Linked DNA regions of Elephas maximus indicus. Each later gene encodes a partner of the first gene's protein in a complex. Links are inferred from orthologs where the notes say so. Each region holds a gene or a part of one and is shown in the gene's direction. Other genes may lie near its edges. The genes, in order: WRAP53 and GAR1.

What was found.
Region 2: WRAP53 (region 1) and GAR1 share a complex: the UniProt entries of both Homo sapiens proteins name them as parts of the telomerase holoenzyme complex. The link is inferred for Elephas maximus indicus from reciprocal best matches to the Homo sapiens genes WRAP53 and GAR1.

What each region holds. Positions count from the first base shown.
Region 1 is NC_064837.1:13,113,100-13,120,759, reverse strand, and holds the start of WRAP53 (telomerase Cajal body protein 1), read left to right. Parts: upstream 1-4,102; 5' UTR 4,103-5,640; coding exon 5,641-6,041; intron 6,042-6,173; coding exon 6,174-6,272; intron 6,273-6,690; coding exon 6,691-6,802; intron 6,803-7,660. UniProt on the Homo sapiens protein: RNA chaperone that plays a key role in telomere maintenance and RNA localization to Cajal bodies. Specifically recognizes and binds the Cajal body box (CAB box) present in both small Cajal body RNAs (scaRNAs) and telomerase RNA template component (TERC).
Region 2 is NC_064823.1:41,298,891-41,306,856, reverse strand, and holds the start of GAR1 (H/ACA ribonucleoprotein complex subunit 1), read left to right. Parts: upstream 1-4,577; 5' UTR 4,578-4,972; intron 4,973-4,987; exon of another isoform or gene 4,988-5,244; intron 5,245-5,598; 5' UTR 5,599-5,610; coding exon 5,611-5,824; intron 5,825-7,678; coding exon 7,679-7,833; intron 7,834-7,966. UniProt on the Homo sapiens protein: Required for ribosome biogenesis and telomere maintenance. Part of the H/ACA small nucleolar ribonucleoprotein (H/ACA snoRNP) complex, which catalyzes pseudouridylation of rRNA.

The sequences.
Region 1 (7,660 bases):
CCAGCACCACCAGCTGCCATCAAGTTGATTCCAACTCGTGGCAATCCCACGTGTATCAGGGTAGAACTGCGCTCCCTAGGGTTTTCAATGGCTGATTTTTCAGAAGCAGATCACCAGGCCTTTCTTCCTAGATACCTCTAGATGGACTTGAACTTTCAACCTTTTGGATAGCAGTGGAGTGTGTTAACTGTTTGGACTACCCGGGGACTCCTCAATAACTGTTAAAACCCATTAACCCGTTGCCATCGAGTCAATTCTGACCCATAGCGACCCTATAGGACAGAGTAGAACTTCCCCATAGGATTTCCAAGGAGCAGCTAGTGGATCCCAATTGCCCACCTTTTGGTTAGCAGCCCGAGCTCTTAACCACTATGCCACTGTTTATATGATAATGATCCTTATTCTAGAATGAGAACTTTGTCATGGTGGGCTAGTGGGGCTTTTGCAGTACTGCCCCCACCCTGTTAATTCAAGTTCACCTCCTTCAGGGACCTGTTCAGTAAACACATCAGGAAGGGCTGTTCTGGGATGGGGGTGCTCAAGGTCTCAATTCCACTCAGAGATATACAACCTCATAGGAGGGCCCAAGCCAAGCCCATTGCCTTTGAGTTGATTCCAACACTTTAGTCCTCAGTAGCAACTGAATCTGCAATGTTTCTTTCTCTAAAGAGCAGGCCATCACTAGCAAACTTTCTCAGAGCAGGTATTCTCCACAGGTACCAGTGAGGTGGCCACGACACAAAATGTTCAGAAGTTGAAGAGGACTTTCCAAAGGGCTGGGGAGGCCAGACATTTATATGGGGGAGGAAATCAACACTGCTGGGACTCCAGGGAGGGGCAGGCCCCATGATAACAATGGCTGTTGTTTACAGGCACCCTCCAGGGCCCACTGCTTTCTGTGGCTTAAATCCTCTCAGAAAGCCCTTAAGGTAGGTATTATCACCAGATGAGGGGACCGAGGGTCAAAGGAATTAAGTCACTTTCCCAGGTTCATAAAGCTCCCAAGGGGCAGGGCCAGGGATTTGAACCTGGGCTGTCTGAAACCACATCCAAGATCTAATAATTATGTTGCTCAAGCTTCACCCAGAAGCTGGCACTTTTTTTTTTTTTTTTTTGCTGAAAGTTATTTGATTAGGAAAACAAAAAAGAAAAATCGATTCTGGAAAGGATCTGAAGCAAAGTACCAGTATCTGGAAAGATTTAAAATGCACACACCTTACTATTCAGCAAAATCACTCCTGGATCGACTCCATAAAATATATTTGCATGTGAGCAGCAAAAAGGAGTCTTACAAAAAATGTTCAGTGCTGTTCCTAATGGCAAGTGGCAGGAGACACATAATATCCATCAATAGAATGGCTAAATAAACATGGCATATTCACAAAAGAAGCTTACTGCAGTAGTTTACAGAAATTAATATATCTGTATGTATGTAAACGTATTATCTCAAAACAGATTGGGTGATAAATAAAATTTGTAGAAAAAAGCAAAACACAGTATTGTCAGAATCAAGTCGATTCTGACTCATGGTGATCCCACGTGTGTCAGTGTAGGACCGTGCTCCCTAAGGTTTCCAGTGGATGATTTCTTGGAAGTAGACTGCCAGGCTTTTCTTCTGAGGTGCCCCTGGGTAGACTTGAACTTCCAACATTTTGGTTAGCAGCCCAGCTTTAATGGTACCACCCAGGGACTCCATGTATCACAAACCACAAGGCAAATTAAAAGAAAAGAAAAAAAAAAAACACAAAACGACTATTTATTGCCTATAAACATATGCATGTAAAAGTGCGAAAGACAGGCCACAATTAACATTGACAACATTTTTGCTATGATCGCAACAGTTTCTGGGAGACAGGTATGTGTGCTCATGGGATTGGGAGTGACAGTCAAAGGGAGGTTTATGTATACTGCTGTTGCCACCCGTTACCCTGCTGTATTTATTAGCACTGGTAGCTTTTCATGAATTTTCTATGAGGATTTCTTATATACACAAAACTGGCTGTGAATAAAGCTATTTAAGTTCTTCTTTTGCAATCGCTATGATTTTTTTTTTTTTTGCTTGGTTAGGACTTTGTTATATCGCAGAAGCGATGCGAGTGGAATCTTTTCCTAGCTCCTGATTGTGGAGGAAAAGCATTCAGACTCTCACTATGATGTGTGCTGTTGATGGTAAACCGTCGTGGATTCCCTTTATCCGACTGAGGACACTACCTTGTTCTGTTTTTTCACATTTTTCTTTTTTTTTTTTTTTTATTGTGGTGCCCAATATAGCTACTTTATTCGTAAAAATAAACGTGTTTCCAACTCAATGGCCACCAAAAAGAGAATGGGTAAACGGTGAAATATATAAATAAAAATACTGAAACACCACTGATAAATGCAATGGATGAATTTCACACACATCATGCTTTAGGAAAGAAGCCGGGCATAAAAGAGTACATCCTGTATGACTCCATTTATGTGGAGTTCTCGAACAGGCAAAACTAGTCCATTATGGCAAAAATAAAAATAAAGGTGTGTGTGGAGGGTCCGAGATTGAGGAGGAAGAAGCATGAGAAAACTTTTCTGGGGTGATGAAAATGTTCTATATTTTCATGGACGTATGGGTTACATTCATCTTCCTGTACACTCGAAGTTGCACTATGTGTAGCTGCTACAAGTAAAGAAAACAAGAAACACATTAAATACCGCGCACAGTGCCTGTTCGTAGCAGGTGCGTGGTAACTGCTGAATGAACCAAGACCCTACGTGATGGAGATGCGGGAGAAATGGACTCTCTTTGGGCTTCAAGCGGGTCGCACCGCCTCCCTCCCACCAGCAAGAACCAGCAGGGTCCGAAGGGCTGGACTTGGGACCTCGGAGCCCGCCCTTCCCCTAGGCCCGCCCCTTCCGCTTTCAGGACGTTCAGGCTGCGTCCGAAATTGGAATTGCTTAGCCCAAAGCCAGGTAGAAGATAGATTGTTTCTCAGGCACAAACCAACGGCCCATTATTGCCACTTTTTCGCCCTTGATTTTCAAGTGTAAGCCTTCTCGGAAATATCCAGGTTTGCACTCTGCATTTTTATTTTTTAACCCATCCCACGCAGTGGTCTCGTCCGCCTCGATCGCAGGCGACCGGGGGTGGGGCACACCATTCAAGAGGGGGAGGGACTGAGCTTTGCATCAAAACAAATACCCCTTTTTTTTTTTATACAAAAGAGGTAACTAATAAGTCCTGGGAAAAAAGAAAGGGAAAAGAAAGAGCAGCGTTCCTCCGCAAGTAATACGAACTAGTCTGAAGTACATTTTCTGTTTCCTTCTACTCCCCTCCCATCGGGTGACTAGTGAGCTGCTCCGATTAAAAGAAACCGGAAATGCTATGCGAGCGGCAGAAATGCAAATGTAGAGCCAAACAATAACAGGACTCTCCTAACAGTCTTTAATTGAATTATCTCCACCTAGCAGCGCCGGGGCTGGCTGGAAAGACCACGCCAGGAAGGACAAAGGTCCGGAAGTTATGGACCCTTACCAGTTCGGGCTTGCTGTTATCACCTCAAATAATCTTTTGGGATGGAGCCTGAGAGTCCACCAGGATGCCATGGGCTCTAGTCTCGAGCCATGAATTCCCAATGTTCCGAGATCGGACAGACTCAGACCCCAACTCGTTGAGCGTCTTATTTCAGGATTCCCATACCTGGTACTTGGATAGGAAGGTAGGGTGGGGAAGAATCTCTTAGGCCGGCTCAAGTTTCCCCTAAAGCCCCACTCTCCCGCCCAGGTGTTAAAGCTCTAAATCTGCTGGTACTAACATCCTTTTACTCTACCCCCAGGGCTCGAAACATTGCACTCCTATGTTGATCCGTCAGCCAAACTCCAAAACTCGCTAAATCTCCAATGCCCCACCCCCAGCCCCTGCGATCTCCGAGCTGAAAATGCACGGAGCCGAAAGCTTAGAGAGGACTCATCAGGCTGTCAAGAGCTTACCCGAACCTCAGGCGAGCGTGTAACCGTCCTTGGAAGCACGCTCCGAGCCCGGACACCAGGTACCGCCAGAGCCCAGCAGCTAGCTGCAACCAGGATGGTGGCTTTGGGCTTTTGAAGAGCTGAAAACTTTTAGCGCCAGTGTGAGCACATGGGAAGGGAAACTCCCAATCCCAGCAACCACCGCGAGGCTTCTGGCACAAAGCTGGACAGTCGCCATGACAAGTAAGGGCAAGTAATTTGCCTGTAGGCAGGGGCGAAGCGGATAAGGAGTGGGAGAGGAGGGAGCGAAGAGAACCAGGATTTTGTGGTGGGGAAGTTCTACAAACTAGAGCTGCAAGAGTAGAATTGATGGAAAACATTTTGGAGTATTCAGGCCATTGTGTCAAATATGCAGTGTGGAAAAAAAAGAAAGCCTTTGTACTTGCTTTTCCTTCTCCCTAGAACGCTTCTCCAGGTAGTTGGATAAATTTCTTCTCATCAGCTAAAATGTCACCTGTTACGGAGGCCGTCTTTGATATCCCCATCTACCCTATTCTTTCAGATAATTTCCTTCACAGCCCTTGTCACTATCTGAAAAGATTTGTTCATTAACTTCAATACACAGCAACGTAAGCCTTTTAAGGGCAGAGACTTCGTCTACTGATAGAAAGTTAAAAAAAAAAAAAGCCAACAAGTAAAAACAAACAAACCTGTTGCTGTCAAGTCAGTTCTGACTCATGGCCACCCCATGTGTTGCACAGTAGAACCGTAGAACTGCTTCATCGGGTTTTCTTGACTGTAATCTTTACGTGGAGCCCTGGCAGTGCAGTGGTTAAGAGCTGACCGTCTAACCTAAAGGTTGGCAGTTCAGTTCCATCAGTCGCTCCTTGGAAACCCTATGGGGCAGACTTATAGGGTCGCTATGAGTTGGAATCAACTCCACGGCAACAAATTTGGATTTTTTGGTTTAGTGTTTATGAAAACAGATAGCCAGGCCTTCCTTCCATGGCACCACCGCTGGGTAGTTTTGAACCGCTAAGGAGCACAAGTTTGCACCACCCAGGGACCTGGGTAGCAAGAATATTTTTTTGATAAATGAAAAAAGAGGGAGGCTTGCGGAATTTGGCGACTGAGACGCAAAAGAGGTTCAAAAACTGTAAAGTCAAATACAGTGCTGGCGCCCACTGCAGATTACGTGGGTAAGCGCTTTAGTCTTTACGAACGACCGCTGGAGACGGCAGGGGGAGCTCGGGTACTTTCGCCGAGGCAAAAGCGTTCAGCCTACAACTCCCAGCAGCCATTGAGGGTCCCAGAGCTTAATGGGAACTGTAAACGGTCTGACGTACATCACCGCCCCGCTCCGCCCCTCCTGTGGGTCTCCCGGGAAATCTGATCTGGGATGCGGAGGCCCAATCGGAAGGTGAGGCCAAATCCCGCGAGAGCAAGTGGCGCGTAGCGACCCACGGAGCTAAGGAACGCTGTGGTTTCCACTTTGGTGTGCCCAGTTCGTCTCGCTTGCTGGAGATCTGCCCCCTCTCGGGAGAGGAAGGGAGGCACAGGTGGGTTTCTCCGGTCCTCGGTCCGGATCCCTGCGAAGTCTGAAGCTGCCCCGGCCGCTCTGCGAAGTAGGCAACCAGTAGCCAAACGGAAGAGGGTTGCCCGGCCCGAGGCCAGTGTCTGTCGCACTTTCTCTGCAGTATGCAGACGCCGGAGGCGCAACCGTTAGCTCCAGACTGCCTTCCTTCAGTCCAGGCCCCAGCTCCAGCCACTCTCTCGCCCCAGGCTTCCCCGATGGATAAAAATACGGACCCTGAACTAATACTGCTGCCACCCGAAGGGGCTGATCCGTCCAGGATATCCCCAGATCCCGTGGCTGTCTCAGCTGTGTCCCAGGAACTGGGTGAGGAGGGCCCAGCTTCTCTCTCCACTCTCTCGGAAACGGGATTTGGTACCCCTGGGGAGTTGAGTCCTCGAATCGAGGAGCAAGAACCTGAAAATGCGAGCCTTTCTGCAGAAGAAACGAACAGACCGGAGTTGGGGTCTGGAGAAGCCATGGAAGGTGTGTCCAAAGAGCCAGCTTTAGAGGATGAGGGAAACACGTAAGTTGACTCTGGGATCAGGAGTTTGGAAGTGTGAGATGTATGGTATCCTCCAGCCCTCACCTACTTCTCCAGCCCCATTTCCTCTTCGCTTTGGCGATCCAGATTTGTTGTCTCCTATCTTCCTTCCAGCACTTGGAATTACAGCTTCTCCCAGCTGCCTCGATTTCTCAGTGGTTCGTGGTCAGAATTCAGCACCCAACCCGAGAACTTTCTTAAAGGATGTAAATGGTAAGTAAGGATAATGAGACAGGGTCACTTGAAAACACCCCAGGTATATTAGTCCTGGTGGCACAGTGGTTAAGATCCCAGGTTGCTAACCAAAAGGTCGGCAGTTTGAATCCACCAGCTGCTCCATGGAAACCCTTTGGGGCAGTTCTTTTCTGTCCCATTGGATCACTCTGAGTTGGAATTGACTGACTGCAGTGGATTTGGTCTTGATTATCTGGGAGAAGGACCTGGTTGAGACAGAGATGGGGGAAAGAATAAGAATCCCTCTTAAGATTGAGCTTAAATTCCATGCAGGGCTTTGGGTCCTCCACTTCTCTCAAGAACTTAGAGTGCTTACCTATCCCAGAGGTAGGCTCAGCCGTAGCTTTACAGTTGGAAATCATGTGTCTGCCCAGCCTTGTAACTCTTTTGCTTTTAGGGCCCCTGACGGTTCCTGCATCTTGACCAATAGTGCTGATAACATCTTACGGATTTACAACCTGCCCCCAGAGCTGTACAGTGAGGAGGAGCAGCTGGAATATGCAGAAATGGTAAGGGCAGGGGCTAACTCTACCCCTTCCTCAGATACCTTGCATTTAACTCTTTGCACTTAGATGGAGAAAACATAGTCTACATGTCTCCTATTCACAAACGGGACCCTTCTGCACCATGAATTCCAGGCAGCATTTTCTGCCCTGAATTCTGAAGTATTTGAAGAGATCTTTGCCTCTTCTTCAACCAGGAATATATTTTTTATGAAAAATTAGTGGGTTTCTTGTGGTAGTATTTAATTTATCTACGGATATTTGTTGAGTGACTAACCAGTATGCCAGTCACAGTGTTTGGTGCTGGGATGAACTGGTGAACAAGACAGATGAAAAGCTGATTTCCTTTCTTGAGTGTGAGATAGACAGCAAACATGTAAACCTATAAGTAATCAGGATCATTACAGGTTATATATATGCAATGAAGGAAATGAACAGAACGAGAGACTAACTGGAGAATACCATTTTAGCTAAAATGGTGAAAAAGGGACTGTTTGTAATGGAGATGCTTGAGCTGAGACCTGAAGCCTGATAATGGGCCAGTCATGTGAAAAGCCATGGACAGTGCATTCTAGGAAGAGGCAATGACATTACAGAGATCAAGGACTAGGAAAGACTTCTGGGTGTTTAAAGAACAGAAGGTCAACATGGCTGGACTGAGGCAAGTGAGGGGAAAAGTGGGGTGAGGATGGTGGGTAACTAGGAGCCATGTCATGTAGAATCTTATTTTCTTTTATAAGGATACTCCTCATGATTGGATTAGGACCCACCCTATTCCAGTATGACGTCATGCTAACTCATAACAGTAGGGTCTTCAAAGACCCTAATTCCCAACAAGGTCACAGTCAAATGTACCAGGGTTTA
Region 2 (7,966 bases), on another chromosome or scaffold:
TTCATGTCTAGAAACCAATGGTATGTCTTGGAGGAAGTGTGTTGGCATCTGTATTGATGGTGCCCATCAAAGATTGACTCCCTGAGAGGTTACATCTCTTGTAGAGAAAGAAAATCCTGATGTTTTCACAACACACTGCTTTCGTCCCAGAGTCATGCTGGTGTTAGAAACTTTTGGAGATAAAACAAAAGAAGTTCTGGATGATGCTATAAAAATGGTTAACCTTATCAAACCAAGACCAGTTCACTGTGGCATTTAAGCAGTATTTAAAAAAAAAAAAATTTTTTTTTTTTTTTAAGCTGTGTTTAAAACTGTGTTGGACAAAGACAACACAAATCTCCTGCCATGTGCATGAATCTTGTGGCTTAGCAGATCATTTGTTCTGGGAGAAGCCAGCTGACACGTCATGAGAATATTCAAGTCCTTAATCTCTGTGAAGAGGTCCATGTGGTGAGGAAACGAGGTCTCCTGCCAACAGGCAGCATCAACTTGCTAGGAATGTGAGTGAGCCACCTCGGAAATGATTCTCCAGCCCCAGTCAAGTCTTCAGATGACTGTAGTCCCCATGGACATCTTGACGGAAACTTCATGAAACCCTGGGCCAGAACAACCCAGCTGAATTGCTCCTGAATTTCTGACCCACAAATTGTGCAAGATAAATATTTATTGTTTTAAGCCACTAAGTGTTGGAGTAATTTCTTATACAGAAAGAAAAACTGATACTGATTTTGGTTCTTTACAGGATGTTTGAGCTGAAAGGTGACCTGTTAGAAATACTTTCAAGAAAATAGTAAGCCAGATTTTGTCAAGTGCTTTGACGATAAAGATGGCTGCAGAAACTAGTTAGCAGATATTTTTCACCACATGAACTACTTAAAGATGGAGAAAATATTTTACTTCAAGTGATAAGATTTTTGGGGTTAAATGGAAACTGAGTCTTTGGGAAAATCATACTGCAAAAGGAAATCTTGAAATGTTCCCACTGCTGCTTAGATTTGAAAGTGAGAAGTCTCAAGTGTTATTGAAGACCACCTGAGGGGATTGGAGAACAAAATTAAACAGCATTTTTCCTTCCCTTTCAACAGAAATATATGACTGGATGAGGGTTTATTTCTCTGAGTCTTCTTCTCAGCCTGAGAATCTGAGAGAAGAGGAAGAATTATTCTCTGTATAAACATAAGATGAAATGTACTGATCTGCCCTCTACAAGTTCTGGATTTCTGTGAAGGAAATTCATAGGAACACAAATACATGTTTTACTGTACTTTTCAACTTCTCACATGTGAGCAAACCTTTTCTTGTCTCAGGAGCATTAAGAGCAAAGGCAGAAATCATTTCATATCAGTTGAAAATAAAATCTGTGTGTGCCAATCTTAAGTTTGACTCAGAATTGAGCATCTGTGCAGCAAAAGATAAGCAAAGGTTTCACACGAATTAGGCAAATTTCAGTATTTTTCGTTTCAAAAGTAACACTTTATGCATATATAGGCCTATAAAAAGAGATCAAGAAATCAACACATGTGCATAATTTTGTAACTGCTAGGCCTATATTTAGGAGCCTTGGTGGTGCAATTAAGTGTTCGACTGCTAACTCCAAGGCTGGTGGTTTGAACCTACCCAGCAGCTCTGTAGAAGAAAGCTCTGACGATCTGCTACCATAAAGATTACAGCCAGAAAACCCTATGGGACAGTTATATACTACGTCACATAGGGTTGCTATGAGTCAAAATCGACTCAGCGAAACCTAACAACAACAGGCCTATATTTGAGTCTGATCAAGTCACTGAGTAAGAAAATGTATTTTCAAAGTCTTAAGTAAAATTATGTCTTGGGCTATATTTTTACTATTGCTTTGGTTTGTGATTTTAGTAGCTTCACTCTTCCACATTCTCAATACTTTTTTCATTTTGTAAACAACATTAATAAAAATCAATTTGAAGCCTTTACTAAATTTAAATTAGATCTACTGAGCCTACCTTAAAAAAAAATAAAATCCATTTTGCCTGAGGCCAGTTACTCAACAGAAAGTTATGATGTTTGCCATATAAATATTTATAGTTTATAAAAAGGAAGGAGCCCGGGTGGCACAGTGGTTAAGAGCTTGGCTGCTAACCAAAAGGTCAGCAGTTTGAATCCACCAGCTGCTCCTTGGAAACACTAAGGGGCAGTTTTACTCTGTCCCATAGGGTTGCTATGAGTCAGAATCGACTTGAATGCAACGGGTTTGGAAACCCTGGTGGCGTAGTAAAGTGCTATGGCTGCTAACCAAAGGGTCAGCAATTCGAATCCGCCAGATGCTCCTTGGAAACTCTATGGGGCAGTTCTATTCTGTCCTATAGGGTCACTATGAGTTGGAATTGACTTGACGGCACTGGGTTTGGTTTTGGTTTATAAAAAGGAAAGAGATTAATCTCAAGAAAAGTAAGCTAAGCTTAACCTGTTGTCCCCCCCCCCCCCCCGCAACCCCTTCAAGAAAGTTTGGCTAAAAAGTCATTTTCAGTTTTAAATAGAGGGAAAAACCTACTTCTGCACATATCATATACCGCATACCATACCTCGTTAGCATCTTATATAGCAGAAATTTGTGAATACTTTTAGGCCTATTTGGGTAAGATTTAAAAATTCAAGGTTTTTTTTTTTTTTAAAGAAAAGCTGAGGTTTCCTTTCTCATTTAATTTGCATTAGAGTTGATATTCTTTGTGAGGAGGGAGAGCTACAGAGTAGGCTAACAAGCTGGACAAAAATAAACAGATTCATAGAAAAACATCATTATTTACTCAAAAGAGCACTGACAATTATCATTGGATTGTGGAGCACAGTTCTACTCCTGACACACATAGAGTTGCCATGAGCGAAATCGCCAGGATAGCAGCTGGTTTTTTATTTACAACTTCTTGATCATGCTAACATACTGTGGTCTGTATATATAATAATTTTTATGTAGGGGTTCCTGAGACATGAAAAAATTTTTAAGAGTTCCTCAGGTAAAAAGAAAAAGGCCAGTCGAGTGGATGGAAAATGGAGCTTTTCCAAGCAAGTGTTTGACAAAGGGACAGCACAAGATGCAAGGCATGCAGGCTGTCTGGTGATGATGCTGGCCTGCTGGAACGGAGGAATGGTATATAACACAGGAGGGAAACACAACTAATTATATAAAGTTTTATATAGAATGTGGAGATTTTATTTTAGACTCAATGCTAAAGGGAACAGGAAGCTGTTTTGGGTCCTGGGGATGGATATGACATGCGGGAACTGATTTGGAAAGTTCAATATGTCATCATATGCAGTACAGATGACGGGAGGAAGAGTGTAGCCTCGAAGCATAGTTTGAGGTAACCAAGATGCTCAAAATGTGACAGGATGTTGTGATTCACTGTTATTTCTGGTCTTTTGAATTCTTGCACATTTTATAGGGTGATCTAGGGTAGAGATAACATAAGAAAATTTGGCAGCGACAACAGGAGGCCTGTAATAGGTTGTTGACAGTACAAAGCTACCTTAGAAGGAATTAACAGAAATTGCTAGCTTCGGATAAAAGACTGGATTGTGGATAGGTGGTAGGGAAGAAGGAGAGTGCTGAAAGGTTTGAGTCCAAATATTTAGAAAACAAGAGTATGATTGTATCATGAAGACAAACAGAGATTTGGAAACATGAACATTTTGGCAAGAGGAAAGCGGGATGGGTAGAGAAGGACTGAGGACTGTGAAAACCCATTTCAAGTTTCTTTCTAACCAGCTGGGAAAGTTACTTTGCTTCTTGGAATGTCATTTCCTTACTTGTAGAATAAAGGTGGTAGGCTCCAGGTGCTCTTGAAGGTCCCAAAAAAGTTCAATGATTTCATCATACTGAGTTGGAGATAGTAGTGGGACACCAAAAGGAGATAAAAGACCAAACTTAAGTGACACAAAAGTAAAACAGCATGGCAGGTATGAGTAATTTTACTCCCGTATGACAGAATTTAAGTACATTTATCGAATCTGAATTAAAGCTACATTTATCAAATTCATTTTGTATACAGAACTCAGGTGTCTCTCAAAGAGCTTTTAAGTTAGTGTAGAAGACATACTATAATTTCTAACATTTCTATAGTGGAGTTCACAAAGTTCTTTCAAAATCTCACTTAAACTTATAATTGCCTTCTGAAATAGGTGCCAATCCTCACTCTCTTTCAAAGAAGGGATGGTCAGCAATGTCAAATATCAAGAAAAGGTCGCAGAGAATTCGGGTGTAAAAGAATCCAACCAAAGCTAACTAATCGGAAGTTATACAAGCTTTCTTTGGGAGAGAAGTTTTAGCTGGTGGAGGGAAGCTGAAGACAGATGTAGCGAAGGCTGAAGGAGGGAAGGGGGTGAGGGGCAACCAGTATAGGTTGGGGCACAGCCTAACACCAGGTCTATGCTCAAAAAGTACTTGACACATGAATAAACTACCTGGTACCAAAAAAAAAAAGTTTGGCTTTCTATCAGATAATGTAGTTTCTTTAAACGTATATACATATAAATACACATTGTTTTTCTTCCTGCAGCTAGTGAAATCACAGGACAAAAGCACAAGAACAGTTCAGTCCACAATGGTGCGTACTTCAAAAGAACCGGAAAAAACAAAGAATTCCGGAACAAAGAACGCAGACGAGCCCGTCACTGGTTGTGACAGGTTCCGACGCGGCCAGATCCACCTCTGGGCAGAGCGCGGATCAAGAGTCCTCAGAGCTGTGACTGCACGGTTGCTAGAGCGGACAATGAACTGAAGAGCGAGGTCGGGGATCATGTTACTGCCCGAGAAGCTACAGCGCGCGGCCAGTCCGCAGTGACCGCTGGAGCGAACGTGCTCCAAATAGTACCCTCCTGGCTCCCGGGAGAGGTGGCAGAGCCCTAACGCCATCCATCTCCAAGGGCAACAGCGCAGCGGCACTTCCTTTAACGTCATGATGCAAAGGACGCTACCTACGTCACTTCCTCTGCCCGTCGTCAGGCAAGTTGACGTAATTGTTGTAAACTAGCGTTTGAAGCTTGATATCGCTCTTACTTTTACGGGGATGAAACCTGTTTTAGAAAGGTGAAATCGTCGCTGGTCTCGCTGGTGACTGGCTCCTTTTGGCTGGTCAGTTATTCCAACTTCCGGTCGGGGCATTTCCCCCCTCCCACTCTACGCAGATACGGTGGCCGAGGAGGCTCGCGGGTGGTGGAAGTACCGGGAAAGTGGGTGTGCGTGCACCGTCCGGGCCAGAGGTGCACGTGGCGCCGGTAAGTGGCTTTAGGAAGCCCGAAGATCTGAGCGTTCTGGATGTGGAGCGCAGCCAGGGAAGGAGGGAGGAAGGGAGGAAGGGAATGTAGCATGAAGACCTCGGTGCCAGCTGGGGGAGGAGGTACTAACCCTAGGGCGACGAGGATGGTGAGTGGTCGGCGCCCGAAGGTCCATGGAGAGGTGCCACGGCTCACTCCTCGTGTTCGTCACAGGTGCCTTGGCCGTGAGTGGGGTGGTAGGGCTGACCATTATCACTGTCCCCTTTTATGGTTTTCTGACCGAGGCTCAGATGAGTTAGGTGGTGTATCCAGAGGCTACAGTGACCTGAAGGCACGTACCGTTTTTCTCACCAGGTAGGAGAGAGCATGTCTTTTCGAGGCGGAGGTCGTGGAGGCTTTAATCGAGGTGGTGGAGGTGGCGGCTTCAGTCGCGGCGGCGGCAGCAACAACCACTTCCGAGGTGGAGGCGGCGGCAATTTCAGAGGCGGCAGCGGCGGCGGCAGAGGCGGATTTGGACGAGGGGGTGGCCGTGGAGGCTTTAACAAATTCCAAGACCAAGGACCTCCAGAACGTGTAGTTTGTATGTCAGCTCAATGCATGGCTTCTTTGGGACTTGGGGCTTGTGTTGTTAGTCAGAAAGTTTGACTTGGAGTCAGGTGTTATCGTAGGGAAGTTGCTGCTTGCTTGGGGAGGCAAGTCTGTTAGTGAGTAATGTTGTTAACTGACTTATAATCATGCTGTAGCATATGAGGGGGAGACCAAGAAGGTGAAGGACACTTAGAATGCATCATGGAAGTGGAACTTGAGCTTTGACAGAAAGGAAGAGTTGTCAGGAGTCATCGAGTTGGTTCCAGCTTATAGTGACCATGTATACAACAGAACGAATCACTGGTTCTTCGCAGCGTTCAGTCGTTGTTTTGCTTGAGCCCATCCTTGCAGCCATTTCAGTTGAAGGTCTTCCTCTCTTTCCCTGACCGAAGCATGATGTCCTTTTCCAGGGACTGGTCCCTCTTACTAACACGTCCAAAGTAATTGAGAGAAAGTCTCACCATTCTTGCTTCTAAGGAGCATTCTGGCTGTACTTCCAAGACAGATTTGTTTTTTCTGCTGGCAGTCCATGGTGTATCCCCTGTTCTTCGCCAAACATCGTAATTCAAATGCGTCATGTCTTCTTTGGTTTTCCTTTTTACTTGTCCAGCTTTCATATGCATAAGACCCGTAAGAGGCAATTGAAAATACCATGGCTTGAGTCAGGCACACTTCAGCTCTCAGTGACATTTTTGCTTTTTAGCACTTTAAAGAGGTCTTTCGCAGCAGATTTGTCTAATGTAATACGTTGTTTGATTTCTTGACTGCTACCTCCATGGACATTGATTGGGATCCAAGTAAAATGAAATCCTTGGCAACTTCAATCCTTTCTCTGTTTATCGTGGTGTTGCTTATTGAGCCAGTGTGAAGATTTTTGTTTTCTTTATGTTGAGATGTCATCCTCAACTTGCATCAGTAATTGTTTCAAGTCCTCTTCGCTTTCAGCAAAAAGGGATTGTATCATCTGCATACTGCAGGTTGTTAATGAGTCTTCCTCTAATCCTGATGCTGAGTCCTTCATATAGCCCACCTTCTCGGATTATTTGCTCAGCATATAGATTTAATAAGTATGGTGAAAGGATACAACCATGATGCATACCTTTCCTGATTTTAAACCATGTAGAATCCCCTTGTTCTGTTCGAATGACCGCCTCTTGGTCTATGTACAAGGCTCCACATGAGCACAATCATGTGCTCTGGAATTCCCTTTTTTTGCATATATAATTTATGATCCACAGAGTTGAATGCCTTTGCATAGTCAATAAAACACAGGTAAACATCTTTCTGGTATTCTCGGCTTTCAGCCAATAGAGGCTGTTTGAAATTCCAAACATTCTTGAACAATTGAAGAGTCATTGGTGAAGAGGTGGTAGTGGGAATGGGTATGTTTTAACAGAGAAGAAAAAAAGGCAATAGAGAAACAAAGACTGATTCATAGTTAGGGATTGGGGAGAAGGAAGAGAAGTCAGGAGAATGAAGCGTTGTTTAATCAAATAATAAGTGTCATTCTAGTAAAGAAATAAAACAACATTCATTATCCCACTTAATCTTCACAATACCATACATTAGATGGAGGTACCATTATTAGCCACATATTAAAGATGAGGACGTCGAAGCAGACAGAGAGTGGGTAACTTAGATCACATAGTTAGTACATTGTGGAATTGGTATACCAGCCTAGAAAGTCTGATTCCAGAGTCTATACTCTCATTGACTGTTATCTTTTGGCTTAGATGATAATAGTTATGATGACATCCCAGGAAGCCAAGAAGAAAGCCTTCAGAAGAGGTTGGTCAGTATCATTTGAAATAGCTTTATATATTAACCTTTTCTTGTCTTATCTCAGTGTTAGGAGAGTTCATGCACCCCTGTGAAGATGACCTTGTTTGTAAATGTGTCACAGATGAAAATAAGGTGCCTTACTTCAATGCACCTGTTTATTTAGAAAACAAAGAACAGATTGGAAAAGTGGATGAAATATTTGGACAGCTTAGAGATTTTGTATCCTTTTTAACTGGAAGACTTAGTGAGCTCATTAAAAGTTTCTACTTGCTTTTTCTGAGGTGATTAAGTATTGGGTTAATTAAACTTGCTGCCTCATTATATTGGACAGAATAATTATTATTACAGATTG